4 linked regions of the Diceros bicornis minor genome follow. The protein of the gene in region 1 purifies or fractionates together with the protein of each later gene. This does not show direct contact. Links are inferred from orthologs where the notes say so. Each region holds a gene or a part of one and is shown in the gene's direction. Other genes may lie near its edges. The genes, in order: UPF1, SMG7, UPF3B and UPF3A.

Region 1 (7,184 bases):
TAGCTGCTGCAACTGGAATCACCACCTGGCTAAGCTTATGATAATCTACTCTCATTCTCCACGACCCATCTGTCCTCTGCACAGGCCAAACAGGGGAGCTGAATGAGGATGTGGTAGGAATTGCCACCCCTGCATCTTTCAAGTCATTGATGGCAGCACTCACCTGTGGAACCCTGAGAACGCAGCATCGCTTTTGGTTTACCATTTTCTTAGGTAGAGGAAGCTCTAGTGGCTTTCACTTGGCCTTTCCCACCATAATAGCCCTCACTCCACAAGTCAGGGAACCAATGTGAGGATTCTGCCAACTGCTAGGTGTATCTATTCCAATTATTCCTTCCAGAACTTGGGAAATAACCACAGGATGGGGGAGGTCAGGGACCCACTGGACCCAGCATGAGATGCATCTGAGCTAAAACTCCAGTGTCATCTGACTTCCATAAGGCCCTACTCTGACTGGTGGACCACAGAGACATTTTGGGTCTCCTGGAATTAGTGTCAGTTCAGAGCCAGTGTCCATTAGTCCCTGAAAGGTCTGATTATTTCCCTTTCCCCAATGCATAGTCACCCTGGTAAAGGGCTGTAGGCCCCACAGGGAAAGTCTGGGAGAAAGATTTACAGCATAAAATTCCAGTAGTGCACCAGGGTCCTTCCTTGAGGGGACCCAGCCTCCCCTTCATTCAAAGGGTTCTGGGTCTGTGAACTGCCTCAACTTTGAGAATTGATTGAGGGGGCTGTGACTCTCTGTTTTTATGATTCAAGTTATACTTCTGCTCACTTGACCTAGAACTTTTCGGCTCGTATAGAGCAAGTAAGAATTTAGTAGGCTTCCCATCTATTTCACTTCTAGGAACACCATGATCAACTAGTCAACGCAGAAAGTCTCTGTGAGTCAGACTTTTCTGATTGCTGCTTCGACTCTAATGTCCATTATGGTGACCACACCCACCTTGCCTTTGGTAGTTGAGTGCCACCGCTTGGCCCCTGACACTCTGGGATCCAATTACTCTCTTGCATTTAGGTTTCCCAAATAAGTGGCAGCAGGTAGCACTATAAATTCTGGCCTACAAAGAAGAATGATCACAGAGCTCTTCAAGGATGCTGGGGCTACCCTCACAAATTTATTTCTCACAATCATGGTGAAAGGTGTATCCTCTAGACCCTCTGAGGGTGAGTCTTAAATGACAAATCCACTCTAACATTCCAATCTCCCTGAGCCTTTGACTCCATTGCTCTATAGTAAACCATAGTTACTGTTGAATTGTTTATTTATCCTTTCAATTTTATCACATTTTGCTTCATGTATTTTGGGGCTTTGTTGTTAGGTGCATATATGTTTATAACTGTTATATCTTCATGATAGATTAGAACTTTTATCATTATATAATGTTTTTTGTCTCAAGTAACAATTTTGGTCTTAACATCTATTTTATCTGATATTAATATGGCAATCCAGCTCTCTTTTCTTTACTGTTTGCATGGAATATCTTTTTCTATCCCTTTACTTTCTTTTTTTTTTTTTTTTTTGGTAAGGAAGATCAGCCCTGAGCTAACATCTGTGCCTATCTTCCTCTATTTTTTTTTTTGTTTGGTAAGGAAGATCAGCCCTGAGCTAACATCCATGCCAATCCTCCTCTTTTTGCTGAGGAAGATTGGCCCTGGGCTAACATCCATGCCCATCTTCCTCCATGGCATGGCGTCGGTGCGCACCCGGAATCTGAATCCCGGGCTGCTGCAGTGGAGTGCACGCACTTAACCGCTATGCCACCGGGCCAGCCCCTCCATTTACTTTCTTTTTTTTTTTTTTAATTTTTATTTATTTATTTTTCCCCCAAAGCCCCAGTAGATAGTTGTAAGTCATGGTTGCACATCCTTCTAGTTGCTGTATGTGGGACTCAGGCTCAGCATGGCCAGAGAAGCAGTGCGTCGGTGCGCGCCTGGGATCCGAACCCAGGCTGCCAGCAGCGGAGCGTGCGCACTTAACCGCTAAGCCATGGGGCCGGCCCCCTCCATTTACTTTCAATCTATTTGTGTCTTTGAATCTAAAGTGACTCTCTTGTAGACAGCATATAGTTAAATTGTGTTTTTTAAAAAAATTTATCTGACAATCTCTGCCTTTTAAGTGAAGAGTTTCATCCATTTCCATTTAATGTAATTACTGATAAGGACTTATTTCTGCCATCTTGTTATTTGTTTTCTATATGTTTATATCTTTTTTTTTCAATTATTCCATTACGGACTTCTTTTGTATTAGACATGCTTTAGTGTGCCATCCAAAATGTCATTTTGCAAATGTGAGTATATGTAGGAAATAAGAGGAGAGCCTTAGGGGCCGGCTTGGTGGTACAAGCGGTTAAGTGTGCCCACTCAGCTTTGGTGGCCCAGGGTTCGCAGGTTCAGATCCCAGGTGCGCACCATTGCACCGCTTGTCAAGCTGTACTGTGGTGGCTTCTCATATTAAAAAAAAAAAGTAGGGGCCGGCCCCGTGGCGTAGCCATTAAGTGAGCACATTCTGCTGCTGGCGGCCCGGGCTTGGATCCCAGGCGTGCACCGACGCACCACCTGTCAGGCCATGCTGTGGCAGCGTCCCACATAAAGTGGAGGAAGATGGGCAAGGATGTTAGCTCAGGGCCAATCTTTCTCAGCAAAAAGAGGAGGATTGGCATGGATGTTAGCTCAGGGCTGATCTTCCTTACCAAAAAAAAAAAAAAAAGTAGAGGAAGATAGGCACAGATGTTAGCTCAGGGCCAATCTCCCTCAGCAAAAAAAAAAAAAGAGGAGAGCCTTAGAAGTGGAATTGCTAGATCAAAGGTGCAGAGGGGCCTGCATTTAAAACTGATAGTGTTACCACATTGGTCTTATATGCTTTTACCAGTTCAATTGGATATTTTCCAAAGAGGGCTTTGTTTTTTATCAAAACCATCCATTGGCTTGTTGGGATTCCCTCTTCAACTGTGTCTTCCTGGAGAGGGAGCACCTAATTATTCATTTTCTATATTCTCACATTTTAGTGCATAGTAGGAGACCAGAAAAGATGTGAAGAAGGAAAAAGGAACCTCTTATACGTCGTGACAGGAATATTGGAAAATGAGGAACCAGGCAGGATCAGGAACTATTAGTGCAGCTGTGCAAACCAGGAGCCCTGTGAGCTGACTTCAAGTATTTAGAGAGCCTCAGAAACTTGGGACAGAAAGGAAGTGGCGAGTTCTCCAAGACACTTTACAAAAAAGGAAGCTAGAGGCTGGAAGTTAGGAGATTAAGGCTCATAAACCAGTAGCTGAACTTGGACAACCTTTTACTGAGCACCTACTGTGTGTGGGCATTACTCTTCCCAAGGGGAAGACCATGTGATGAACAAAGCCAGCCCCTGTCCATGTGGAACTTTCCTTACTTAACAATTAAGGGAGTGAATAGTAGTTCACTTATTCTTCATCCCATCTTGATGGTTATTATCATCCTTTTCTAGTGGAGGAAACCTTAGGCTCAGAAAGGCGAATTCACTTGTACAGTCACACAGCCAGTAGGTGGCCAGATCTGGATTTCACCCCAGCGCAAGCGCTCCCAATCGCTTTATCATATACTGCCTCTTGAATAATATTATTGTCCGAAGCAGCAGCAACCACCATTTATGCGTGCCAGGCTCCGTGCTAAGGACTGCCCCCATTTGTTTATTCAACCAGTGCACAGTGAGCATCTACTATGGGTCAGGCACCCCCATTTTACGGATGGGGAAACCGAGGCCCAGGAAGCTTCTCCGAGACATGAGGGTGCGCCGTGCCGCCAAGCCTCTCCAATTGGGTGTTCCAAGACCACCTACGTAATGCATTCAGCTACTGCTCAATTAACCCGAGGCACTGTCGCAGTCGGTACGGCCACAACCACCACACCCTCACCGCCCGCCGCCCGGGCGCCACTGAACTGCGGTTTGGGCGGGACCACGGCCTCGTGCGGCCGCCGCGGCGGCGGTTGGAAGCCCCGCCTCCCGCGCGCGCGCGCTGCGCCTCCTGTCGGCCCGCTCGGCTCCGGGCGTCCGGGCGCGGTTGGAGGCGCCGCGAGGAGCGCGCGCGCCTGCGCCGGCGTCGGGCTCGCGCACGCGCACGGCGGCGGTTCCTGCTGGGAGCTGCGAGCGGCGGGCGGCTCCGAGAGGAGCGGCGGCGCTCAGGGGCTCGGCGGCGGCGGGGGCGGCTCGGCGCGCGTGACTCTCTGCCCGGCTTGCGCCGCGGCAGGCGTTTTGGTCCGGTCCAGGGGCGGGAGCGCGGCGGCGGCGGCGGCGGTCCGAAGTCCGAGGCCTGCGGCCTAGGCCTCAGCGCGGCGGCGGGCTCGAGTGCGGCGCGGAACCGGCCTGAGGGCCGTACGCGGCGGCACCATGAGCGTGGAGGCGTACGGGCCCAGCTCGCAGACGCTCACCTTCCTGGACACCGAGGAGGCCGAGCTGCTTGGCGCCGACACGCAGGGCTCGGAGTTCGAGTTCACCGACTTCACCATCCCCAGCCAGACGCAGACGCCCCCCGGCGGCCCCGGCGGCGGCGGCGCAGGGGGCCCGGTCGGCGTGGGCGCGGGCGCCGCGGCCGGACAGCTCGACGCGCAGGTGAGCGGCACATGGCGGCGCCGGAAGCCCGGACGGGCTTCTTCTCGGCGGCCGGAGACTTGCCGGGCTAATGCGCCCCGGGTCCCGCTCTCCGGCCGGGTCCGGAGTAACCTGGCTCGGGATCTCACTCAGGACTTGCCGGGTAACCTGGCTCGGGATCTCACTCATGACTTGCCGGGAGGAACCTGCCCCGGTTCCCGCTCTGAGTCCCGCTCTGGTTGCGTCCGGGTCATCTGTTCAGGATCTAGTTCAGGCTGGGTCTTAGGTGACCTGCCCCAAGTCCTCTTCCGGGCCTGTCCGGGGTGACCTGCCCTAGCACTGATTCCGGCCAGGTCGGGGGTGATCTGCCCCCCAGTACCCCTCCACCTGGGTCCGTGCCCTGCTCAAGGCGGCTCCGGGGGTATCTGCCCCGGTCCCTCCTCTGGCCAGTCCCGCCGCCCTGCCCTACTAGCTGCCTGTGGTCGCAGCAATCTGGGCACCCCCCCCAGTCATGCCCACTGAGCAGCGGGTTCAAATTTCCCCGGGCCCAGGGACGCTGGCGAGGGTGACGGTAGATGCTCCTGGAACAGAAATGGAATTTCTGCCTCCAGTCGAGAGCCCCACGCTCGTTGGCTATTAAGATTATTGAAGAGGCAGGTTGGGTTTTTTTTTTCCTTCTTGCATTGCCTGTTGCTGAAACTGACCTGTTACGTAACTGCACAGCCCTGCCTTGGAAAAGTTGGGTTTGAGTTTGTTCCTCCAATGGGGCAGTGATAGTGAGTTTTACATAAATGGGTCTGCCACGTCAGAAACTTTTGTTTTTAATGATATGGACGTTTGGCAAAGCCTACTTGGGTGTTTTAAATTTGAGTTTGGTTATGAGAAGTATCAGGCGTACATTTCGGTGACCTGGGTCCCTGCCCCAGGATGGGAGAGGGGTCTGGCTGGGGTCCCAGGGAATGTTGCGGTCATTCTCTGGATCTCAGATTACGTTTACCAAATTTCCCTGTGCCCAGCACCTCCCTCAGGTTTATTTTCCTGAATTCTCAACCAGGGAGGAGCTAAGAGGCTCACTTTGTCACAGGTGTCCTTTGCTCTGAGGACCCACTGCCAGGGCTGGGGAGCCACCCATCCTCAGCAGGAATGAGCTCAGATCCTGTCCTTGGGGGAGGGGGCTTACATTCTAGTTGGTTGAGTCACTCCAGTGGGTAGACCACCCACTTCTTTCTTTTAGCCCTTAATACAAGCAGAAAACATTTGACTCATTCTAACCCCAGATTCCTTAAAAATAGAAGTCCAGTGGGTGGGGCATTGGGGAGAACAGGTGTACAAGTATGTATGTTTCTCAGTTTTGTTTACATATGGTGGAGGGAGGTAGGAGAGGGGAGTTTGCATGGAGAAATGAAGGAGCCGCTGGAGGCTGCTGCTAACGCCTGTAGTTTCAAGCTTTGTAGACCCCTCTGTTTCCACAGCTGTGAAATGAAGGTAGCAGCTATGTTTTTGTTACTTTTCAACATTCATGAAATCTGGACTCGTGTATGAATGGACCAGATAGTGCTGCCTGTAACTTGTGGCCAGCATACCTGGAAGGCTGAGGATAAAGATCTCTTGGTTGAACAGTGTGCCATGCTCTGTAGCAGCTCAGGGTTGTGAAAGGTAGTCGTTTTACTGCAAATCTTTTTTTAACTGCAGCCAATATAAAACAGCAAACCTGGGGCAGCTCTGAGTTCTAGTTTTGTTCCTTGCCATCTGTTTGCGATTAATTGTGAGGCGTGTCCTTCTCTTTCAGTTGAAGTAATCAATTTATTTTCCTGCACCTGAACACTGTACAAAATAATAGCATTAAAACGCTCCACCGAAGGTAAACCTTGCAGTTGAGCTCATTTGAGTTCTGATGACATCAGAAGGGTCTGTCCGTCCTTCCTTTTAATGAAGCCTAAGGATCCACCCACCTATAGCCTAACTTTTGATTTGTATTTGGGGAAGGGAAGTGATATCCTTTGTGTCACAAGAGGAGGCCCTGAATTTGGGCATAGGAAAGTCTGAATAGAATCACAAAGGGGAAAAAAGTTAATTATCTCCTGTGCCAGTTGGTGGCATTGGCTGCCTGCAGCATTTGGGAGGATTTTCCTTATTTGTCCTCAGGAGTTGGCTGTATAACCAGCTATACGATGGGGCTTCCAGAAAGACTCAAAAAACCTCCCATTGTGAATGCCTTTTCATTCCGTCTTATTGGATGAGTGGCTGTGAATTGTCAACTGCTGTGTGGTCTCTTTTGTTTCACAGCTTTATTGAGATAGAATTCACATACCATATGATGCACTCGTTTCGAGTGTCCAATTCAGTGGCTTTTAATACATTCAGAGGTATGCCACCACCAGCACAATCAATTTTAGGACATTTTTGTTACCCTAGAAAGAAACCCTGCAACCCTCAGCCCGTCAATCCTCCCTTCTCCAACCCCAGGCCACCACTAATCTTTCTGGATTTATCTACTCTGAACGTTTCATATGGATGGAATCATACAGTATGTAATCTTTTGTGTCTGGCTTCTGTCACTGAGCGTGTCTTCAAGGTTTGTCCATGGTGTAGCAGTATCTGTTCCATTCCTTTTTATGAC
Region 2 (7,660 bases), on another chromosome or scaffold:
CCGGCCCCACAATATTCTTTTTTAATATTCGTCGGTCTACCCTATGAGCATTTCTTCTTGTCTTCTCCAGATGGTCTGTGTCCATTAAATTAGAAGATAAGATTTTAAGGTGCGGATCTTTCCCAGAAGTGTTTTCTTATTGGGAGTTGGGAGAAATTCTTGAAGATTAATAAGGTTTCCCTTAGTAAATATTAAGAAAATGGAGAAGGAGAGAGAGTTCTGACCACCATTCTCTATCACCTCACTGTCTCCCAGACCAAAAGTTGCTTCTCTGGGGTCTTGGACTGCAGTGCTTGCTGACCGTTCTTCAGGCTCAGTGACTCCCTCTTAGGAGTGAATAAATAAATATACACTTGGCGAACTGTTTGATAAAGGCTGCTGACCTTTGGTCTATGAAATCTTGAGCAACAGGAGACCTGAGATGAACCGTCCATTTGTATCTGACTCGATATTTGAAGAGAATGAATCACTCACTTGATTGAATCACTTAGCTCCATGGCCTGAGGTGTGGTACTAAAGAGAGCATGGGCCAGCTTCACACACATTGTGTACTTAAGGACTGCAATTGATAAATCCTTCTCATCAAAACAAAAACACATCTATTAAGTACCTAATTGTGCACATGATTTGGAAACATTCAGAATATGTAGGCTAAATATGAAAATAAATTAGTGCTTGTTAAGATTCCATGAAACAGGTAAGATGTCTATTATTATAAAAAGGGAGGAGGCTTGCTATGTATCAATCGTCAGGTTACCAAAGCTCTGGGTAAATTTGATAGCAATGTTCAGAGTAGCTTCTCAGCAAATACCTGGTGTCTGATTGAAACCCAGCCACTTGGTTTACTTGGGCAGAAATGTAGTTATATTAGGTTGTTTTTAGTGACATAAGGTTTTTAAAAAGTTTCAACCCTCTAGAATCTGACTCCTAATGTCCTGATATTGTATTCTTTTCTGTAATCTGAGTCATGGATGAAGAAATCTATCTTCTAGCACTGAATGAGAATAGACGTGGGTATGTGGTGAGACCTATGAGTATTATAGATAAAGACTAGATAAATTATTATTTAAAAAAATAACTTTATGCTGCAGTAGTTCTAAATCATTCATTTTAGCTTGATATAAAAGAGCAAGAGGGCAAAAAGAAAATTAACATTTATCAAGAGCCAGTGTTGTATGTCAGGCGCTCACATACTCAGTCATATATACCATCATTAAAGTTCACAGGAAGCCTGTAGTAGGTAAGGTTTCCATTTTGCTCAAGGAAGAAACTGAAGTTCAGAGACTGAGATGGCAGAGTTGGGAGGCACACTCGGGTCTGCTAGCTTATGATCTTTCCCTAAAATCAGTTAGGCACAAACTGAACAACTTACAATCAGGTAGGATTAAACAAAGTGAGACAGCTTTACCTCTCTAATTTCTTTCGGTTTAGATAATCTATATCTACCAGGGAAAAAGTGAATAAAATCTATTGCAGAAAGACGCTTGTATTCTAAAAATCTGTTGATGAGGGGGGCCGTAGAAAGAGATGAGATTTCGAAAATGTACATTAAGCAATATGTAAATTCTGGGTCATAATTTTTCTGAGTCCTATTGATTTTTGAAAGTTATTTTCACATAAGGGCATCAATCTCTTATAACCTTTAAACTGTAAATGTTACTAGTTCTATCTAGTTTATAGGGACATTGTAAAGCTATTGAAGAATCTTATAAAATTCTTAGGAAAGCTGCTATAAAATACAAAGATTATTTATATTTCTCACCCTCATCTGTGTACCTAAAGTACTTTGTTCTTACCTTAATTATTGCACCCATAATATTGCATCCTAATCATTTCTCTACTCTGGTATCTCTTCCAGAAGCTTGGTTCCTCCAAGACAGGGACTATGTCTCTTTCACTATGACAGTGCCTGAAATATAATAAGTGCTCAGTAAATGTTTATTGATTAAACAACACAACAAAAGGATTCATCATTCTGATCCCAGGTTCCTTATTTCCAAAATGAGAAGATAGTAATATTTTCCCAGACTGCTTATCAGGAGTGTCATAATATATGCTCATATACTGTTTATACTGGAGATATAAGCCACAGACATAAAAGGTGTTATGATGATGATGATTAAGGGACTAATTATTTTACATAACATAAAGTTTTTATTCTGGCTAAAATCATTTTAAAAATCTAATAATAAATTTCAGGAAAGAAATGTAGGGCATTTTAGGGAATATGTAGTAGTAATCTCCAGCCTTGGGCTCTCAGGGTTGAAGGAAAAGCAGGATCCTACACCAGGGATGAGAACAATCTCTCACTAGGTGGCTCTCTTTCCCGCAAGTGGGCGAACCGTTGGTGCAGCGATGATAGGGAGCATTGTACAGCTGCAACCACCGCGCGTCACCCGGCCATCACAGTAGGCGTTTGCAGCGGGAGGGGCATAGTTCAGTTTCTGTTTCCTTAATGATACGCTGTCCTTAGAATTTATTTCAAAGTAGCCTGTACTTTCATTTCCTCCAAATTTATACATGATACTCCAAACAGACACCGGTCCAGTCTTTCAATTGTTGCAACTTCAGGGAAGGATGTTGAAAGCGCCTGTTCACCTAGCATGGAAGACAGCAGGAATCCAGGTACCCAAATGGAGCCGAACCAAAATAGCCCATTAAAATCCTGATTTTTAACTATCCAGTGAGGGCTGTTTTATACCGTTACATATCCTGAAGTATTTTGTGACAGCTGCTTAAACGATTCCCTAATACGAATCGAAAATATAATTTGTAAAATGTCAAATAATTCCTTCAAATCATTAGGATGACGATTTCTCCAGCTACTTCTCATACACTCCATATTATTATTGACCCCATTCTTTACTCCTGCTTTTTAGCCCCAAACCGAACACAAAATACACACACTGGACATTCAAAAAGATTTGTTCTAAGAATGAAAATCCTTTTCCTAGACGCCTTTCATGGGAACTTCGCACAAGTATCTGTTTTTCTTGATACTGTTTTACCCAACACTTTCCTCTTCAACACAAAAGATACACAAATTCCACAACCCTGCAGACCCATCAGAGAAGGAGGAAGTTTGCAGAGGAGGGAGGAACCTGGAGGTCTGCTTTTGATAATCTAACGGGACCCCCAGGGGGTGGGGGTGGGGTGGGGCGGTGTCTCTGAGAGGGATGGCAATCGACAGCGTCTTGCCACGTCCTGGCTCTAAATGCTGGGAGACCACTTGTTAGCCTTCTAGGATGTGTTCCCACTCTCACTCTGGCCTCCCTGCGGCAGGAGGCGGCGCCAGAAGGCCACGCGGGGAACTCCGAGGAGGCTCGGTCGCCGAGGGTGTGTGTGGGGTGGGGTTTGGGGGATTTCTGTAAGGGGTCGACCCACCGGGAAAAGTCGGCTGTCCCTGTCGGCAGGAGAGGGATCGCGGCTGTCGTGTGCCGTTCTCCTCCCTCAGGGACCCCGTCCTGGCGGGATCCCGCCTCCCAGAGCCCGCGGCGGCTGTGGGGAAACCCCTCGCCCGCCTCGCCGCCTCGCGCCGCCGCCGCGCCCTCCCCGCTCCAGCCCGCCGCCTGCCAGCCTTCAGGCCTCTCCACGCCCGGCCCTGACAGGAAACTATGAAGGTGGTTCCCGCCCGCAGGCGGGTGGAAAAGCCCACGGTGAATGCCTCGGGGTCTCCCCTATCGCTGCGGGAAGGGGAAAGGGAGGAGGAAATGAACTTCACCGCCCGGGAGAACTACCCGGATCCCCAACCTGGGGGAGGCCTCGGATGGAAGGGAAGCCAAGGGGGAACCTTGGGCACTTTCTCGAGAATCCATTAGCGCAGGGAGGGTCACCCTGTCCGCACACACTGGTTACTATGACAATACAACTACAGCCTGCGGTTGCCATGGCAGCTGCTTATCCAATCCGATTGGTTTCCTTTCTCTTCCTCCCTGGGCTCCACCCCATACCCTCCACAGTCTCCCAGCGTGCAGAGGGAGGGGCCGCAGAAAAGAGGAGGGGGTCAGCGTCATTCTCTAGGGCGCAAAGGAAGACAAGAGTCGAGAGACTGGCGGGCGGAACTGTAGGAGGAAGGGGCGGCGTTTCCGGTAGGGAAGAGTGGAGGAGTGGAAAAAGGAAGAGAGAAATCGGGTGGAGTGGAAAGACGGGGGAAGATTTTGAGTGTAACTCCCAGTTGACTTGGGCTCGATGTTCCCAGTGAGGCTGGGGTTGCCCCCTCGCGCGGGAGGAGAGGGGTGGATTGGCCGCAAGCAGTCAAGCGCCTCCAGCGGGCAGCTCAGCAGCCGCATAGGCGCCGCACAGCTAGTTGGTCCCAAAACGGTGCGCTACAGAGCGGCGGAAATCAACGGGAGGGACCGGCGCCGTTGAAATCTCGCGAGAGGAACCCTACTTCCTTTCTCCGCTTCTCCCTCCTCTTCCCCCCGCCCCCTTCCCGTTTCCCTCCCCCTTCCCCCTCCCGGGTCGGAGTGTCCCTGCGCCCCAGGGGCCGGAGCAGCAGCGAGAGCAGCTTTCCCCGCTCCCTCCCCCTCGCCCTCACTCACCCCCACCCCCCCGCCAAGCGAGGAGGAGCCGGAGGAGAGGAAGATGGCGGCGGCCGCCAGCACCCGCGGGGCCGCGGGGCCGCTCCGAGGAGCCTGAGACACACACAGAGGCTTCGCGGGAAGACGCGGCGGCGGAGGATGAGCCTGCAGAGCGCGCAGTATCTCCGGTGAGTGCCGATGTCGGCCCCGTCCGTGGGGGGAGCGGGCCGACGGTTGGGGCATGGAGCAGCAGACCCAGAGGTGCTATGTCCGGGGTGGCGGGGGAGTTGCTGTGTCCTCTCCTTCCCTGGCAGGGAGGCGGGGGCTGCGAGGGGAGCCGCGGGAGGGGGCGGAGCGGGCACACACCTGGGTGCCTGGCCCCCGCGGGCCGGGCGGAGTTCCAGCGAAGCCGGCTCACCTCGGTGCGAGGACGGAGGTTAGGGAAGTGGGAGAATATGTGTGCGCGCGCCCGGGGTCGCGGGCTCGCTGGCGAGGGGTGGGGGAGGCGCCCGGGGAGGCGGCGGCGACCCCGAGTGGAGGTGGGTGTGGAGGAGTCTCATCCCGGTGGCGGGGAAAACGTGGTGTGGCGTGGGATTGGCTGGAGCGATGCGTGAGGAGAAGACGCGGTGGAAGTCTGTACACCTGGGGTGTGTGGGTGGCCGGGGAGGGAGGACCAGAAGAGGGGGAGACTGCAGGAAACTGGAGTTTGTTCTTCATTCTCGGGGTGGAAGTGCTGAGGAATAATGTCATCTGTAGTCAGTTGGTGGGGTGGGAGTAGGGCCATAAAGAGGGGGAGTGGATGAGGAAGTGAGGAAAGAGGGAGGTACTATGGACGGGATTGGGTTCCCCGGAAGAAACTGGGTTAGAATCAGTGTAGTCTGAACATACCATTCTGAGAGTCGTGTGCATTCACCAAGAGTGGTGTAAGGAACTTGTATGTCGGAGGTAGAGTGACTCATGGGTGCAGAGTATGTGTGAGTATGTGATTATGTCTGGGGTGAGGTGTGGGGGGCGATTGATACACATTTTAGGAGGGGAAGATGCAGACACATTGGAACCAAGTACCTGATGGTGAGAGTGTGTTGAATGGAAAGACTAGCTGTTGTGCAGCCAAGAAAGTTCCATAGAAGCAGAGTAAGCGCGTGGAGGGAGAGGTAAATGAGGGTCAAAGTCTTGATGACAGAGAAAAATAAGGTTGTTAGAGCCTGAGATTAATTGGGGAGTTGCTACTGCTTAGAAAAGGGGAAGGAAAACCTTAAAATGGGTATCCTTTGTCTTTCAGGAGCAGAACTAAGAAAGGCAGGCTTATGGGAAGATATTTTAAAAAGTAGTTTCATATCTTGTGGAGGAGGGATTTGGATGGGTTAGAAGTCTGAAATGAGCAGACAAGTCACTTTAGCTGTTTAGTGAAAGTATTGCTGTGTGAGTGGATCCCTATATGTATATTGCAAGAGAACGTATGTACTAAGTGACACATGAGGGTGGCTATTCTACTTCTGAAAGTAGTAGTAGTTTTATTAAGCAGAGTGTGGAGAGGAGAGAATGATGAGACCTTTGAATTATGGTTGAATGCCTGAGTTCAACAGGGACAGGATCCACACAGCATGGGTGCCCAATGACTATAAGGTAGTTGGAATGATATCTGTATACCGAGGTCTTTTTTGTCTCTGTTATCCCTTTATTGTTGAACATATCAGATAAACTTAATAAAAAAACTGGCAAAGATCTGTGGGATGCTGTAGAGGGGGGATATGGAAGCCATCAGGACAGTCCTTAATTTTAAAGAATTTGCAGTTTAGTATATATTAGGCAAATAAATTAATAACAGCACAGAATAAAATAAGGTAAGTATCATTAAAGATGCCAAGTGTTAGAGGAGTCCAAAGGCAGATTACCTGAGCAACTGGGGGAATCAGGAAGAGCTTCCTTTGTTCATTGCTCATTCATAGACTCGTGATTCATCAGTCATTTTGTTGATCACCAGTATGGGAGGCATTGTACCAACTGCTGAGAATAGAAAAGTAAGAACTCCACCCTCCTCTTACAGAGTTTACAGTTTATTAGGCTTCAAGGAGAAATTGGCACTTAAAATGGACCTTAAGGATAAACAGTATCCTGACAGGTAGGGATTGGGAAGAGGGGAATTCAAATGGAAGGAAACAGGAGCAGAGATATGTGGATAGGGAGGTTGGGGATGGGGCAAGGTATTCAGTCTAGTTAAACAGAATATAGGGTGGTGCAGCTGGAAAAACTTAAGAGTTTTATAGCTTATTGTTTGACCCCTTCCTTTTACAGATGAGGAAAGTATAGCCCAAAGAAATTAAAATTGTTGAGGATCATATAGTTGGTATGCGGAAGCTCTGTAACTCAAATGTAGGTCCTCTAACTCCAAATTATCTATACTGTGCAACATGTCTGGGTTCATCCACTCTTTCCACAAATATATATTGAGAGCTTACTATATTCCAGGCACTGAGGATACAGTGGTGAACAAAAGAGTGAACATGGAAAGGTATATTATAGTGTAAGGATGCAATCAAACATATGAACAGATAAATATGTTCATCAGGTGGTAACAAGTACTAGGAAGAAAAATAAAGCAAGATAGGGATATGCTCTTTTATATAGACAAGGGATCAGGGAAAGCCTATTGATAAGGTGCTTGTCTTTGAGAGGGTCTTGAATATCATGATCTGTAGTTTGTAGTTAAAATGGTTGGACAATGGAGAATCTGAGATGATTTGTTTAGAAGGGAGTTTACATGTTCATAGCTATGAAGTTGGAAGATGAATCTGTTTAAGTGTAATGGTGGGCAGTTAGGGCCAGAAATAAGGTGGTGGCAGTGGTACTAGAAAAGTATGATGAAAAGCAGATTGAGAGAGTGGTGGTAATTTTAATGAGAAGATGTCTTGGCTTTGGGAGCCTTCTGTGTTACTGTATCTTATGTTTTGTAAATCAACATGGTAGGGAAGGCTTATCCTTAGGTTGTGGAGTCAGTGGTACACAGCTCAAGATGAGTTTAGTTCTCTGAGGAAGGGAGAAAAGAATAAGAATGAACACAGTGTTTAAATAACCTATATTTTCCAGCTAAAGTTGAACAGGCACGGGACCTAGAGTCCCTTAAAGATTCCTGAGAGCCA
Region 3 (7,963 bases), on another chromosome or scaffold:
TGGGATTTAGGTAAATTTCAGAGCTGGTCTGGGACAAGAATTAATTAAAAACAACGACGACCACAACAGCATTTAAATAAAAGTCATTTTGATCTTGAAAATGGATGCTAGTCTTATAGTTCTCATTATGCCGAGTGGAGTTGAATGCCAGGCAGTCACAGATGATTCCCATAAGGGGTTTTATTTGTGAAAGGATTAATATAAAAGGGGCAATACAACTAATAAAAAATGGCCTGCCCAATGAAGGCCAGGGAAGAATTTTTACAGTAAGGTTTTTCTGCATGTGTAAACATTTTCCTTCTGCTTTTCTGGTGGGGAAGCAGTCCCTACCATGAGATTGCCCAGCTTGCAAAGCGGGAAGAAGGTTCTTGGGGTGTACAGTGAAACAGTGAGGATCAATGATGTGAGGAAGTTTGGGAGAGTTCTATAACTCTCCCTCTCTCTCTGTCTCTCTCTTTTGTCTTCCCCCTTAGCTGGTGAAAAGGAGCCACTACACCTCCCCAACCCTTGATTTTGTTTGTTTTTTCTTTTGCTTTGGAATAAATAATATATTGACATGGTGCAATAACCAAAAGGTTAAAAAGGTATACAGTGAAAAATAAATATGTGAAGAGATGCTCAACTTCATTAATCATCAGAGAAATGCAGAGTAAAACTACAATGAGCTACCGCTACATACTCATCCAGTGTTGGGAAGGGTGTGAAGCCATCGGGACTCTCACACACTGCTAGTAAGAGTATAAATTGGCACAACCACGGTGGAAAACTCTTTAGCACTATCTACTAAAGCAGAACATATGCTTACTCCATGATTCAGCAATTCCAATCCTAGGTATGTATCCAACATAAATGCATACATATGATCACCAAACGACATGTACTACAGTGTTCAGAGCAGCACCCCAAATAGTGGAATGGATAAATAAATTGTGGAAGATTCATACACTGGAATATTATACCATAATGAGAGCGAACAATTCAAAGCTCCATATGGCAACATAAATGAATCTCATAGTCACAAATGTTGAGAGAAAGAAGCCCAACATAAATACGTACTATGTAATCCAGTTCACGTGAAGTTCAAAACAAGCAAAACTAACCAATGGTGTTAGAAATCAGGATGGTTGTATTCTTGATGGGGGAAGTGACTGAAAAGGGACACTAAGGGAGCATGTGGAATGCTGGCAACATTCTGTTTCTTGATCTCAGTGCTGGTTACATGAGTGTGTTCACTTTGTGAAAATTCATCAAGCTGTACATTTATTATGTGTGCACTTGTCTATACATGTGTCATACTTTAATTAAAAGTTTAATTAAAAAGAAACTTTAGGCGCCGGCCTCGTGGCGTAGCGGTTAAGTGCACATGCTCCACTGCTGGTGGCCAGGGTTCAGATCCCGGGCATGCACTGACGCACCACTTGTCATGCCATGCTGTGGTGGCGACCCAAATAAAGTGGAGGAAGAGGGGCATGGATGTTAGCTCAGGGCCAGTCTTCCTCAGCGAAAAAAAAAAGAGGAGGATTGACATGGATGTTAGCTCAGGGCTGATCTTCCTCACCAAAAAAAAAAGAAGAAGAAAGAAACCTTACAGTGTGTGGTAGGCAAAATAATGCACCCCCCAAGCTGTCTACACCCTAATCCCCAGAACCTGTGACTATGTTAAATTATATGGCAAAGGGAATTAGGGTTGCTAATCATCTGACATCATAGCGAGAGTATACTGGATTATCCAGGTGGGCCCAATGTAATCATAAGGGTTCTTAAAAGCAGAAGGGGGAGGCAGAAGAGAGAGTGAAAGAGACATAGATGAAGCAGGATCAGAGAGATGCTATGTTGCTGGCTTTGAAGATGGAGGAAAGGGCCACGAGCTGAGAAATATGCACAGCCTCAAGAATCTGAAAAAGACAAGGAACTGGATTCCCTCCTAGAGCCTCCTGGAAGGAACTCATTTCGGCCAACACCTTAATTTTAGTCCAGTGAGACCCGTGTTGGACTTTTAACCTACAGAACTGTAAGATATTAAATTTGTGTTATTTTAACCCACTAAATTTGTGATAATTTGTTAGAGCAGCAATAGGAAACTAATACAGTTGGTGTGGATCAAGTGTTCGGTTTTGGATATATTCAGAGAATCTGAACGTGTTAAACATCAAGTGGAGACGTCAAGGGGGCAGTTGGATATATGTGTCTGGAATTCAGGGGAGAGGTATGGGCTGGAGATATAAATTTTGGAGTTGTCATCGAAGAGAGAAAAGCTGAAAACAAAAGAATGGATGAGATTAACAAAGAAGTGAGTGTAGACAAAAGAGGTCTGGGGACTGAGCCCTGGAACACCAACTCTGATGACTGACATGTAGCTGGTGGTTTAAAGCCGGTGAGCATTCCGAAACAGAGGCATACATCAGGATGTAAATGCAAGTTAGATGGAGAAAGATAATTACCATATGGCTTCACTCATATGTGGAAGATAAGCAAACAAACACATAGGGGCCGGCCCTGTGGCTTAGTGGTTAAGTGCACGCACTCCGCTGCTGGCGGCCCGGGTTTGGATCCCGGGCGCGCACCGACGCACTGCTTCTCGCGCCATGCTGAGGCCACGTCCCACATACAGCAACTAGAAGGATGTGCAACTATGACATACAACTATCTACTGGGGCTTTGGGGAAAAAAAAATAAATAAAATTACAAACAAACACATAGATACGGAGAACAGATTGGTGGTTACCAGAGGGGGAGGGGATGGGGGGAGGGCAAAAGAGTTTACGTAAAGGGGCACATCTGTATGGTGATGGTTCAAAACTAGACTATTGGTGGTGAACATGATGCAGTCTATACAGAAACTGACATTTAGTAATGTACACCTGAAATACACACAATGTTATAAGCCAATATGACCTCAATAAAATAAATTAAAAAAAAAAGATGTAAATGGAGGGCTAGGTAGTAAGTCAGAGGCCAATACTTAAGCTAGACTTGTAAGAATGGGCAGATACTGGAGGCAAGATCGAGTAACAGATTCCAAATACGTGGAAAAGGTCTTGGCAACAGGAATTAGAAACTCAAGCATATGCTTCACAATACGGGTGAGAAAATTTAAGCACAGTATGTGGGTAATATATTCTAGACGTCAGCAAAAATGGGACCTTGGCCCTGAGCCAGCTTTCTGCCTTCGGCTTCTATTGCATCTTTAACATGGTTCCTGCCCACTGTGGGTGTCTGTGTATCTCTCTAGTTTATCATTTGCCCTTCTCTCCCATTTCTCTTGCTTTTTCCTTAATTGCACATAATACAGAAATACTATGTTCAATTGATTCTGACATATTTTTTCACATTTTAACACCTCTGAAATCAGGATGCATCTTAAAATTGTTGGTGTGTCACAGTTCAATTGGCAGCATTTTTTTCTTTCTTGGTATATAAAATAATGGTGGTCTTTAGGCTGGCCCCGTGGCATAGTGGTTTAAGTTCTCGCCCTCCACTTTGGCAGCCCAGGGTTCGCAGGTTCAGATCCTGAGCATGGACGTACATACTGCTCATCAAGTCATGCTGTGGCAGCATCCCACATACAAAATGGAGGAAAATGGGCACAGACCTTAGCTTAAGGACAATCTTCCTCACCAAAAATAAATAAATATATAAATAATAATAAAAATGGTGGTCTTAAATGCAGTGGTATCTTACATCTGATGAAATACAAATGCTCCATCATTTAGGGCAATAGTTTTCGAATTCTGCATTTTTTTAAACTCTGGAGGGCTGAACTTTATTGAAGTATAATTTACATAAAATAATATTCAGCAATTTTATGTGTACAATTCAATGAGTTTACACAAATGTGTGCAGTTATGCAACCACCACCACAATCATGATAAAGAGCATTTTCATCACTCCAGAGTCCCCTGGAGCCTCTTTGCAATCAATCCCTTCTCCCTCCCCCATCCCCTGACAATCATTGATCTGCTTTCTATCATTATAGTTTTACTTTTTCTAGAATTTGATATGAGATTATACAGCATGTACTCTCTTTGTGTCTGGATTCTTTCACTCAGCTTAATCATATTGAGATTCATTCATGTTGATGGACATATCAGTTCGTTTTTATTGCTGAGTAGTATCTCATTCTACGAATATACCCCATTTTTTTACCCATTTGCCCGTTGACAGACGTGGATTGTTTCCAGTTTCGGGCTATTATAAATAATGTATCCTTGCCGTTTTTTAAGGCAGGAAGGAGGGTGATCCCATCTAAAGCAAGTTGGATTATATTTTATTTTCTCCTCCTTGTGGGGCATCAGTACCATCATACAATCCTTTTACTTAAAAAAGGGAGATGAAAACAAATTTCATACGTTCTAGTCATATTACTTCTTTAAATATCAGTATCTTATGAATGTTTATTAAGTATCTCCGAATCTTAATATAAAAAGAAAATTCTAGAGCTTCTGAAAGCACGCTTAGAATCAATGATAGAACATACCAATCGCTCTCCTAGCGAGGTAAACTTTGGATAACATCGGGTTTATCTGAGGAAAACGAAGCGAAGTACAGCCCGCAGAACCTATCTTTTGATCTGAAAAACACTAAACTTTCAAAATTAATTACTCCATTTACTGTACTTATAAATAGAGACCCCAAGATATCGATGGTTCCAGAACTCTGGGCAAAAAGCGGGTAGCTGCTTTGTATGCCGGGATTTGTAGTCCACGAAAGAGTCGTTCTAGTCAAGATGGTGGAGTTGCTAAGGACCTGCGCAGAGCGGGCCCCGAGGGAGCCTGGGCCGCGAAGCGATTGGGCGGTCCGGAGACTCCGCGGGCGGGAAGTTAAGACCAGGTGTTAAAACCTTTCCACCGAGGGAACCCGGACGCCCTGAAGTCTCGCGAGATCCTGGCTGGGCCCAATGGAACGCGGGCCCCAGCTTATCACTAGGGGCGTTTGTTGGGGGCGGAGCTCTGACGGGAGTGGGCCGGGAGTCGTAGGTGCCCGGCGTAGCGGCGTTTAGGCCGAGGTGCCGCTTTGAGGAGTAAAGCCGTGGCCATGAAGGAGGAGAAGGAGCACAGGCCTAAGGAGAAGCGAGTAACCCTCTTGACTCCCCCGGGGGCTACAAGCAGCGGCGGTGGGGCTTCGGCGGACAGCACCAAAGGGGAAGATAAGCAGGATCGGAACAAGGAGAAGAAAGAGGCGCTGAGCAAGGTGCCTGGCCGACTGTTGGCCCAGGAGAGGGCGGGACGGGTCCGCCACTCGTGGAGGCTGGTTGGGAATGGGGCTGCCCTCTTCCTCTCCCAGTGTCCCCCTCTGTTTCTTCACCTGAGTGCAGATCACATCACCCTGTCTCATCCACTCGTCCGAAAAGCGGGGCGCCCCTCTCCCGGCCAAGCCTTGGAGTGAGAGTGAGGAAAAGGAGGGGATTCCCAAACGAGAAGGGGTTAGGTCAGAGCTGGGAGATGATAATGGGAGGGGGAGCGATAGTAAAGAGAAGGCGGAATGAAAGGTTGATTGGGGATAATTATTAAATAGTTAAGGGGCCGTCAAGGGTGGGAGTAGTTTGTGATAGGAGTATTAACGGAAGCAAGTTGAAGGAGTGTGGGGGGATTAATGGTCTCGGGCCAAATCAGGTGCATACTATTTTGGGAGCAATGAGGGAATTTTTGGTATTCTTTAGCGTTTTGAATTCTTTATGCTGAATGGGGAAGGATTGTGGTTTAGGATGTGTTGGATGTGGTAGGGAAATATTAATAAATCCAGAGTTCGTGGCACCCACAAAAGAGCAGGGTTGGCGCACTATTTTCTTACCACTACATCTGTTGGAAAACGAATGAGAGAAAATGATGCGAAAACCTAGTAAACTGCGGGGCTTCGAGTTAATGCAACGTGAGGTTTTCCTTGCTCTAGGCAGTTCTCATTTCTAAGTTTTTAAAAACAGCGTTCCCATTATGTTTGACTAATTCTGAGCATTAAAAAAATTTTTTCTCCTGGGTTTTTATAAGTGATCTCATCTTTTAAAGCCCAGCTTTCTTCGGGGACGGTGATTCTTCCAGGTACGACAGAAAATTGATTTGTACTCATTTTATTTTCCTTATTCATTTCTCAAGGTGGTCATTCGGAGATTACCTCCCACTTTGACCAAGGAGCAGCTTCAGGAACATCTTCAGCCTATGCCCGAGCATGATTATTTTGAGTTTTTTTCTAATGATACTAGGTAAAATAAATAAATAAAAGAGGGAGGGGGTCAATGAAAAGGTTTCTTCCATTCTTGATCCTACTGCTGTTTTCCATTTGATTTTTGAGCCTGTCTCTTTAATATATGCATACTTGTAATTCAGCCAGACACCTGAAAGCACATTTACATAATTGCTTTCCTCTCTGCAGTCTGTATCCTCATATGTATGCCAGGGCATACATCAACTTTAAAAACCAAGAGGACATTATTTTGTTCAGGGATCGCTTTGATGGTTATGTATTCCTTGACAATAAAGGTGAGTCCTTGTAATAGAAGGGGAGTTTCTTTGTCATTTGTATGTTTAAGACAATGTGTGTATCACAGTGTTTTTCTTCTCAATGCCTTCATAGCTTTTCTAAAATCCTGGGTGATGAAATGTGCAACATTTAGAGTTTTACACCGTTGATAAGCTTATTACTGTCTTATAAATAGATATGTTACTTTTCACAGCCCTCGGGTATTTTTATTAACCTGTGATTTCTGTAGTTTGATCAACTGAATGAAATTGCCACTGTTTTCTCCTCCTGTGATAAATTTTTTGCCCTGGATTAGATGTGTTGTTTTGACTATTGACTAGTTTCAGCACTAATACTGATAAATGACTCTTTAAACTTGTATGACAAGTTTTAAATAATTACTTCTCATCTTGCTTCAAGGACCAACATTTATTTATTTAATTCAAATCCGTTAAGCTAATAGTTCCCATTCAGAATACTGTTTAACATTCTAAGTTGTATGTAATTAAAACATTGAACCTGTAGATCCCCCACTTTGTATCCAGGAGTCTATAGGGAAGAAAAACTTGTCTTAACTCTCTTTGTATTTATTATCTGCTGCTAGCAGCATTTAGCCAGAGAATGTCCAAGCTGTCATTTCCCACTTCGCTTTTGGCTTTGCAATCTTAGGTAAATGATGTGTATTTTTGTTAGGTTATGTTTTTTCAGTGTTACTTCAAAGTTGGTAAAAATGAAATCTTTGTCAGGGAATATGCCAGTAAAAGTTGAAGGATTGTCACTGTATTTCTCCAGCTTTTATTAATCCCCCAAACCAGCTACTTCTCCACTCCAGCTTTATTCCAGTAGATAGCAATGATTTCCTGGAAATCTGAGTTGTGTTTTTTTGTTTTTTGTTTTTTTGGTGAGGAAGATTGGCTCTGAGCTAACATCTGTTGCCAATCTTCCTCTTTTTGCTTGAGGAAGATTGTCCCTGAGCTAACATCTGTGCCAATCTTCCTCTATTTTTTGTATGTGGGATGCCACCACAGCATGGCTTCGTAAGCATTGTGTAGGTCCATGCAGGATCTGAACCCATGAACCCTGGGCCGCTGAAGTGGAGCACATGAACTGAACCGCTACGCCACCAGGCCAGCCCCTGAGTTATGTTTTTTTCCTCTCTTTTTATCCCATACATTTAAACAAATGATGAATCTTGTCAATTTATTGTTTTTTAATATCTTGTTCATCTAGACTTACTAATACTTTCACACTTGATGTCCTCTCACCTAATGCTTAGACAACCACTGTCTCTAAACTTAAAGGATTTTCCATTTTTTCCATCTCTGTATAATTCAGTCTGTTATACTGCCTTGAAATTAATCTTTTTGAAAGTAGTGATTTAAAATAGCAGTTGCGAAAAAAAGTCCAAACTCCTTAGCCTCGTAGTCAGGGTCCTCCATGGTGTGGCCTCACTTCTGTTTTTTTCAGCCTATCTCCACAATTTCCTTCTATTTCAGTCTGGTTTATCTAT
Region 4 (7,767 bases), on another chromosome or scaffold:
GTCTTTGAAAATTGACAGTGGTGGCTGTTACTTGGGGAAAAAAAACCATTTGGGCCTTTTGCGAGCTACATTTACAAGAAATATATATCCAGCAAACATGTGAATGCCTGTAGGTGCCAGATACAGGCCTGGGCTGGGCATACAGAGTGGAATAAAATGTAGCTCCTGCTTGAGTAAGTCATCATTCTGGGCTGTAGGGAGTGTTCTTTGAGCATTGAATACGGTGCAACAAATGGAAGTGTGATTAAGGTTCTGGGGATCTCAAATGAAGCCACCGTGGCTGGGAAGGTGTTCGGTTGGGCTGAGAGGGCTTCAGGAAGGTGGGAGGACGTGCTAGGCAGAGGCCATAGCATAAGCCGTGGCTTCATAGTGGTGGCAGCAAAATATGGACACAAGAAATATCACAAGGCATTGCACATACCAGGGCCTAATGAGAAGCTGAGGACAAGAGTTCTTCTCTCCGTTAGGTAATTTCAGTGTTTTTTGGCTGAGTAATAAAAGAATGCCAATGTAGAAACATCACTAAAGAGCTGAAATCAGATATTGAGTTAGATGATTAACTTCTGAATAACATGCAGAAATTAAAGAAGGAAGACCTGCAAATAGATGAGGGCAGTTTTAAAAAAAGATGTTCAGAATACAGATAGTCCCTCATATATGATGGTTCAATTTAGGATTTTTTGACTTAACAACAGTGCAGAAGCAATACGCGTTCAGTAGACGTCATACTTCGAATTTTGAATTTTGGTCTTTTCCTAGGCTAGCGATATGCAGTACAATCCTCTCGTGATGCTGGGCAGCGGCATCGAGCTGCAGCTCCCTGTCAGCCACATGATCACAAGGGTAAACAACCCACACACTGACAACCATTCTGTACCCATACAACCATTCTGTTTTCCACTTGCAGTATTCAATCAATTACGTGAGACATTCAACACTTTATTATTAAATAGGCTTTGTGTAAGTTGATTTTGTCCAACAGTAGGCTCACGTAAGTGTCTGAGCACGTTGAAGGTAGGCTAGACTAAACTATGATGTTCGGTAGGTTAGGTGTGTTAATGCATCTTCGACTTACAGTATTTTCAACTTACAAAGGGTTTATTGGGACATAAAACCCTTGGAAGTCGAGGAAGATCTGTATGTGCTGTGTATTTAAAGACTGCTGAACATTCAGATTTTTAAAATGAATGGTGTCCAAATTTTTCCTATCAGCCCCTTTTGCCCCTACCTCCCACCCTCACTATGTAGTAAAAGATTTTGTCTGGCAACCGCGTTTTCCTTTTTATCATAGATAAGATCATCAGAGCTTTTGATCAGCATAACTAGGCTTTCTATACTGAGTTGGTTTGAGGCAAAAAAGGAAACTGGATCCAGTGTGTGCAACTTGATCATAGGCTTGTCTCTAATGCAATTCCTCTAGACCTTATGAAATACTGAAAATTGTGCCTGGCCCCCTTTGTGGCGTTTTAGAGAACTCAGTTTGGGAACTGCTCTTTGAGTCTTTTGGCCCACTTGAAATGTTACACTTCAACTGTGTCCATACATAGTGAGTGGGATCAAGTGCTGGTTGAGTTAAGTCTGGATTTGCTTCCAGTATCTACCAGTGACTCCCTTAATCTCTCAATGCCTTGGTCACTCCATTCTCTAATTTTTTTGTTTGTATTTGAAGTTCTTGGGAGAAAGGAGCTATGAATGAAATATACAGCCAACATAAATAAAGAAATATATGAGGAAATATGAAAAAATGTGGCACTTAAAAGTGAAGAACTTTCATATAAATTATTCTAATTGAAAGTTACCGTTTGCATGTTTGTAAAAGAAAAATACACAAATGTGATCATGGCTTAATTGCTGTCCCATTAATTGAGAGCCTCAAAAAGTTGAATAAAAATTATATTGGAAAACCTTAACGCCCTGTTTTGTGGGTGCCGTGGGTCTGAGCTCTTAGTTCCTCTAATCCAGCCTGCACATCATCCAGACAGCAGTCAGTGCTGACGCCTGGGCTCCTGAGGATAGTCCAAGTGAGTCTTCTTTCTGTGCCGGCCAATTTCTGCTCACAACTCTGGCACGTTCATTCCACTCCATATATATAGTAAAGCCCTGCACCCATTCGTGCTCTTTGTCAACAGTTTTGTTTTTCTTATATGTAACTGCTAGTCTCTGATGAAACTGTAGAGGAGGAAGACAATTCCTCTACCCCCTAGGTCCTTCTGGGTGGTCTAAGAATTAAATTGACATGAGACAGAATAACAGGAGAAAAATCAAAGTTTAATAACGTGTATACATGGGAGAAACCCAGGAAAGCTGAGTAACTCACCAGAATGGCCAAAGTCAACACCTTAAATATCATCTTCAGCTAAAGACACAGGAGGATGTTGGGGGTAGTGGTTTTGGGCTCCAAAGGGAAGGAAGGAAGGCAATTCACATGGAGATGGAAATGTAAATGTTTGTTAAAAAAGTGTTGGGCCCACCTGAAAGAAACATTTTACATTACATTACAGTTATCATATGGTATTAGCTCTTTCCTGGAACAGACCCTCTATCTTAAATTATTTTAGGCAGTTAGGGGAAGGTCAGAGTTTCAGAGTCTTTTGTTCTTAAAAATTGTTGATGCAAATAACCTATAATCAATCTATAAATCAAAATTGGGGTGAGTTTATCATGAGCCAAATTTGAGGACCACATAGCCTGGGGCCCTCCTTCCCCAAGGAAGGAAGGGCACCAAAGAAGTGGGGTGTACTGAGCGGTTATATACTGTCCAAGTGCATGTATCTCATATGATTGCAATGTCCCTTTTACAATAGTCTTGAGATTGCCCTTGTCAGATTACTCTGTCTGCACAGGGATTGATGGACACAGCAGGCAGCAGGTCTGTTGTCTGGAGTTGGGTGGTCACAGGATGAGTGCAGCAATCAAATCCTAGCCTAGGGAGAAATGCTTATCCTTAAGGAAATGCCAATGTGGGGGAAGTTGCATCCTTATCTTAACGGCATTTGTTCTTGTCTTTGGGACATGTTAATTGCTTAAAGCAGATTTACAATATATCTTCAAAGGCCACAGGCCCTTTTGGAAAAACAAGCTCAGGCCAAATTAGTTTTACACCAAATGACTTCCTCATATGCTCCAATATGCCCTATTGCTTGCTATTTATTTATCAAAATAATCAAGCCAAAGAGACACATTTGAAGTGGCCAATTCTGATCCCCCCCAAAAAGTTCGAATTATCTTGTGATAAGAGATTTTCACACATTGACGTACAAAGGGTAACCCTTTGGGTTTAAACCTGATTCTAGGCTTGAACTAAACAAGCCTGATTTATGGCCTATGAAACATACATTGTACATACACTTTAACCATTAAAGAACATCCTCTCTTAAGAATGCTTACCTCCCCTCCTACGCCCTATTGGTAATGCGGATTAGTCCCTTTCCCCAACATCAGGGTCATGTTGACCTGCTAATTTGCAACTGAATGCCTCTTTGAAATTTTATCCTGGGCATGTTTAATGTATGTTTTTTGTCCTAAAAAGGTGTAAGACTGTACTGAAAACCACTCTTCTCCAGAACGCTTTCTTACTTTCTGGAAAAGGCCCTCCTGGGTTATAATCCTTATTGGTTATTTTGCATCCACACTTTGAGAACAATAAATATCTGTAACTGTTTTATTAAGCACGTGTATGTAACTCGCAGGACTATTCGGCCAAATAGCCAGCTCTCTGTGGGAAGCAGGTTCAGCCCTGTGTGGGAGATCAAGATTTGGCCACCCTGAAATCTCTCTCTTTACCTTGGTTGTTTTCTCTGAGGACATTTGACCTCCCCCACTAACTGCCTAAAGAATTTGACATAGTATCAAACTCTTTGATACTGGAACAGATCTTCTATCTGATGGCTGTAATATAATGTAAAATAGATGTTACAATAGAAAAGGCATCAACAAGCCCATATTATGTCTCTCTGGCCACATTCTCTGGATGGCCCTGCGAGGAGTTGCCAGACAAACATTTACATTTATAAGGGAAATCTCCATTTGTAAAGGGATCTCCCTCTCTGTTTTGGGAAGAGGGGGGATGGCCTCATTTCTAGAGACTTATCACTATGGAAGGTGAGGCCTTAAATCTGCATAATAACCTCACTCTTGTTTACTGGGCTTTAGTGATAATCTTCTGTAACTGACTCCCCCCCCCCAACATCCTCCTTTGTCATTGGCTGAACATGGTATTTAAGACTAGAATTTCTGCTATTGTGTTGAGAAACGCAGCGTCCCTGCTTTCTCCCACGTATACATTGTTATTAAACTTGGTATTATTTTCTCCTGCTAACCTGTCTTATTAATTATTTGGCCAGCCATAAGAACCTAAGGCAAAGGGCAGAGGGAGATTCTCCCTCTCTCCCAACACCTGCAAAGGCTGTTGCTTGAGCCAATCGTCCCCTGGGCCAGAATGTCCTGCTGACACCAAACGAACAAGACTCCAGACCCTCCGAGGTCGAGCTCCCACTTCCCAGTGACCGCACAGCTGCGCAATGTGGCGGCAGGGCTGGTGGGAGGTGCGGCTCCAGGGCCCCCATACAGAGGCCCCAGGGCGGCGGCGGAGGTCGTGGGCCAAGAGGGCGCGCGGAAAGTGGAATACCCGGGGCCAGGGGGTGGCCCAGGGGGAGGGGGCGGAGGGGAACGGAGGAGAGGGGCGGGCGCCATCCAAGCCCCAGCGGCCCAGTTCTCGCGAGGTTCCGCCCGGGCGAGAGGCGGCAGTGGCTCCGCGACCGGTACGAGATGCGCTCGGAGAAGGAGGGGGCCGGAGGCCCCAGGGCGGCTGTTGCTGCACGGCGCTCAACCGGGAGGGAGAAGGCAGCCGTCCTGGAAGTCCAGTTCCGCCGGGAGTCGCCACCGGCCGCGTCCTCCGGCTGTGGGGGTGGCGCAGGCAAACCTCGCGAGGAGAAGAAAACGGCCCTAAGCAAGGTGGGGGCGGGGCGAAGGAAGGGGCGGGGTGAGGACGGGGCGGTGCAAGCAAACCTCGCGAGAGGAAGGGGAATTCTTAGCGCGGTCAGGCGGGGCGAGGGTGGGTGCTGCGCGCCAACCTCGCGAGAGGAGGACGGTCCTCAGCAAGGTGAGGCGGGGCCGCGGGTTGGGCGGGGCGCCCTTCAGCACCGCGGACAGCGGTCGGGCAGCGCTGGCCGAGTTTTCGGCGCCCTCCGACGCGAGCTTTTCCGGCCTGGGGAGGAAGAAATGCCCTGTGGGCCTGAGCACGTTTCCCGCTGGGGCTGAGACGCTGGGCTCCCCGGCGCCTGGCAGTAGCTGTCCGCACTGCCGAGGAGCGCGGCCGCAGGGGGCACGAGCGGGGTCGGTGGCTCGGCGGCTCTGTCAGGGTCCGGTCCGGTCCAGGGAAGACGGCGGCAGCCGGGAGAGGCAGCCCGGACGGCTGGTGAGGTGTTGGAGAGGACCCGCGGTGTGGACACTGCGGACAGGAGGCGGACTTCCCCTGGGCAGTGAGGACGGTGCCCGTGGGTTTGCTCCTGCTGGTGTTCTCTGCGTGTGTCTTGCCTCCTAGTGTGGCCCACATGCAGGAGAGAGAGGAGCGGGTCTTATTTTGCAGCTCGGGCACGGACCGTACGTGTCGTGGTAGTAATGAAATGATTCCGAGGAAGAGGGGTTATGCGCAGGCTTTTCTGACCCCACGGATCCCTTTTAAATTATTCAGCCCTCATTACCCTTTTGACAGCTATGTTCTCCAGGTATTTCTTATCCTTTCCTAAAATGTGTGTTTCTGCTGGACGCCTGGTTTAGATTTTCCTTTGAGCATAAACACAGGTGACCAAGCATTCAAATAATTGAAGCTTAATACAGTGATAGTGAAACAAAACCCAGGCAGCGACCTTTCCCCAGGTGGTCATCCGGCGGCTTCCTCCCAGCCTCACCAAGGAGCAGCTGGAACAGCAGCTTCGCCCGCTGCCTGCGCACGACTCCTTCGAGTTCTTCACTGCCGATCTCAGGTGAGAAGCTGTTTACCGACGTTAAACAGCTGTGAGGTATTGTCAGTGGTGGAAATTTTTGTAGATAATAGGAGCCATCTTCGTTTCCATCTTCTTTCCCACACGTACCCAGAAATCAGTGCAGACCTTTGTTTCTAAGTTATTTCTAAGTAGGCAGATCATTAAATTCCTCTAAAACAGATTTGGAATATGCCTCTGCTGTCACTACCGTAGTCTGAAAAGAAAAACAGACAAACTAACAACATATTACTCAATTTTGGATATCAATAAACTATTTCATAGAGCTTTTTAAAGTAGATTTTATTAAGATATAACAAAGAAAAGTGAATGAATAATAGATGTATAACCTGATGAATTTTCACAAGTGAACACACCCATATAATTAACACCAGATAAAGAAACAGAATATCCCCGACCCCAGAAGCCCCCTTGTACTCCCTTCTATCACTAACACCCCGACCCTGCGCATGCCCGGTCATGTCTTTTTCAATTCCCTGTTACAGCTTGGTAATAAGATGACTCTGACAACACTGTAACACTTCCAAATTTCCCTTTTAATGACACAGAGGGAGCAGACCAGGTTAGACCTTCAACAGGTGACAGTTCACCTAGAATTTAGTGATTTTCATTATGTTTTTATCATGATCTTCATTATCATTGTTATTGTTTCTATTCTCAATATTGTGAGTTCTCAATTATGGTAGCCATAGGAACTTTCCTTTAGAATAAATGCATTTAAGTAAAAAACGTCAGTCCATTCAAAGAAAAATATCACTAAGAGGTAACTTTAGATATAGTTTAAAAACCCAACAGAAAGATGGTTTTCAAATGACTAAAGTTTAGGAAAACTGGTGCCGTTACAGGAAGACGGGCACTGGTCTCAGGTGGGATCCCAGGCCCACCTTTTAACTAACACGTCCTCTCAAGTTCCTGATTTCTCAGTGTTCTCATCTGTCACGTGGGGCTGAAAGTTCCTGCCTATGAAGGAAATCGGTAGCTGTGAGACGGGAGAAAGGCTTCGTTCTTTTGTAGACCTCGTACCATGTGCTCCAAGAAATACTCTTAAAATACCTGCAGGTTTTCTCTAAGTCAGTGAAGGATCTCTTTACAGCACAGCATTGTCGCCTGTGAACGGTCCTCACTAGGTGGTGTCGCAGTGGTGACGCATGGTGAGGGATGACCTTTGAATAACCATGCCTTTGGTTTTCAGCCTCTGAGGACCAGTTATTTTATAATTATTTATTTATTTATTTATTTTTTCCCCCAAAGCCCCAGTAGATAGTTGTATGTCATAGCTGCACATCCTTCTAGTTGCTGTATGTGGGACGCGGCCTCAGCATGGCCGGAGAAGCGGTGTGTTGGTGCGCTCCCGGGATCGAACCCGGGCCGCCAGCAGCGGAGCACGAGCACTTAACCGCTAAGCCACGGGGCCGGCCCCAGGACCAGTTATTTTAACCCTGACTCTGTGCAGTAGAGAAACTGACCTAAAGGGTCTCCCCCAAGTCATTAACAAGGTCTCAGTTCGTGTTTTGTTTGTTTGATTTTGATTTTTTGCTAAAGAATATCCATTTTGTAATTAACTGAGAGATGATACTTTGGCATAAAGGTTTTATCTAAAGTAGTTTGTTCTAGGGCCAGCCCCGTGGCTTAGCGGTTAAGTGCTCAAGCTCTGCTACTGGCGGCCCGGGTTCGGATCCTGCGCGCACACCTGATGCACCGCTTCTCCCACCATGCTGAGGCCGCGTCCCATATACAGCAACTAGAAGGAAGTGCTGCTATGACA

The links.
Region 2: the proteins of UPF1 (region 1) and SMG7 purify together in Homo sapiens (affinity purification with western blotting; 7 studies listed by BioGRID and IntAct, with this or other methods). This does not show direct contact. The link is inferred for Diceros bicornis minor from reciprocal best matches to the Homo sapiens genes UPF1 and SMG7.
Region 3: the proteins of UPF1 (region 1) and UPF3B purify together in Homo sapiens (co-immunoprecipitation; 16 studies listed by BioGRID and IntAct, with this or other methods). This does not show direct contact. The link is inferred for Diceros bicornis minor from reciprocal best matches to the Homo sapiens genes UPF1 and UPF3B.
Region 4: the proteins of UPF1 (region 1) and UPF3A purify together in Homo sapiens (affinity purification with western blotting; 5 studies listed by BioGRID and IntAct, with this or other methods). This does not show direct contact. The link is inferred for Diceros bicornis minor from reciprocal best matches to the Homo sapiens genes UPF1 and UPF3A.

What each region holds. Positions count from the first base shown.
Region 1 is NC_080759.1:6,387,478-6,394,661, forward strand, and holds the start of UPF1 (regulator of nonsense transcripts 1), read left to right. Parts: upstream 1-4,170; 5' UTR 4,171-4,363; coding exon 4,364-4,585; intron 4,586-7,184. UniProt on the Homo sapiens protein: RNA-dependent helicase required for nonsense-mediated decay (NMD) of aberrant mRNAs containing premature stop codons and modulates the expression level of normal mRNAs.
Region 2 is NC_080743.1:83,979,123-83,986,782, reverse strand, and holds the start of SMG7 (nonsense-mediated mRNA decay factor SMG7), read left to right. Parts: upstream 1-4,644; 5' UTR 4,645-4,679; coding exon of another isoform or gene 4,680-4,708; intron 4,709-7,660. UniProt on the Homo sapiens protein: Plays a role in nonsense-mediated mRNA decay. Recruits UPF1 to cytoplasmic mRNA decay bodies.
Region 3 is NC_080781.1:110,330,058-110,338,020, reverse strand, and holds the start of UPF3B (regulator of nonsense transcripts 3B), read left to right. Parts: upstream 1-4,947; 5' UTR 4,948-5,034; coding exon 5,035-5,190; intron 5,191-6,089; coding exon 6,090-6,196; intron 6,197-6,366; coding exon 6,367-6,473; intron 6,474-7,963. UniProt on the Homo sapiens protein: Involved in nonsense-mediated decay (NMD) of mRNAs containing premature stop codons by associating with the nuclear exon junction complex (EJC) and serving as link between the EJC core and NMD machinery.
Region 4 is NC_080748.1:87,791,859-87,799,625, forward strand, and holds the start of UPF3A (regulator of nonsense transcripts 3A), read left to right. Parts: upstream 1-4,750; 5' UTR 4,751-4,767; coding exon 4,768-4,953; intron 4,954-5,188; exon of another isoform or gene 5,189-5,552; coding exon of another isoform or gene 5,553-5,726; intron 5,727-5,877; coding exon 5,878-5,984; intron 5,985-7,767. UniProt on the Homo sapiens protein: Involved in nonsense-mediated decay (NMD) of mRNAs containing premature stop codons by associating with the nuclear exon junction complex (EJC) and serving as link between the EJC core and NMD machinery.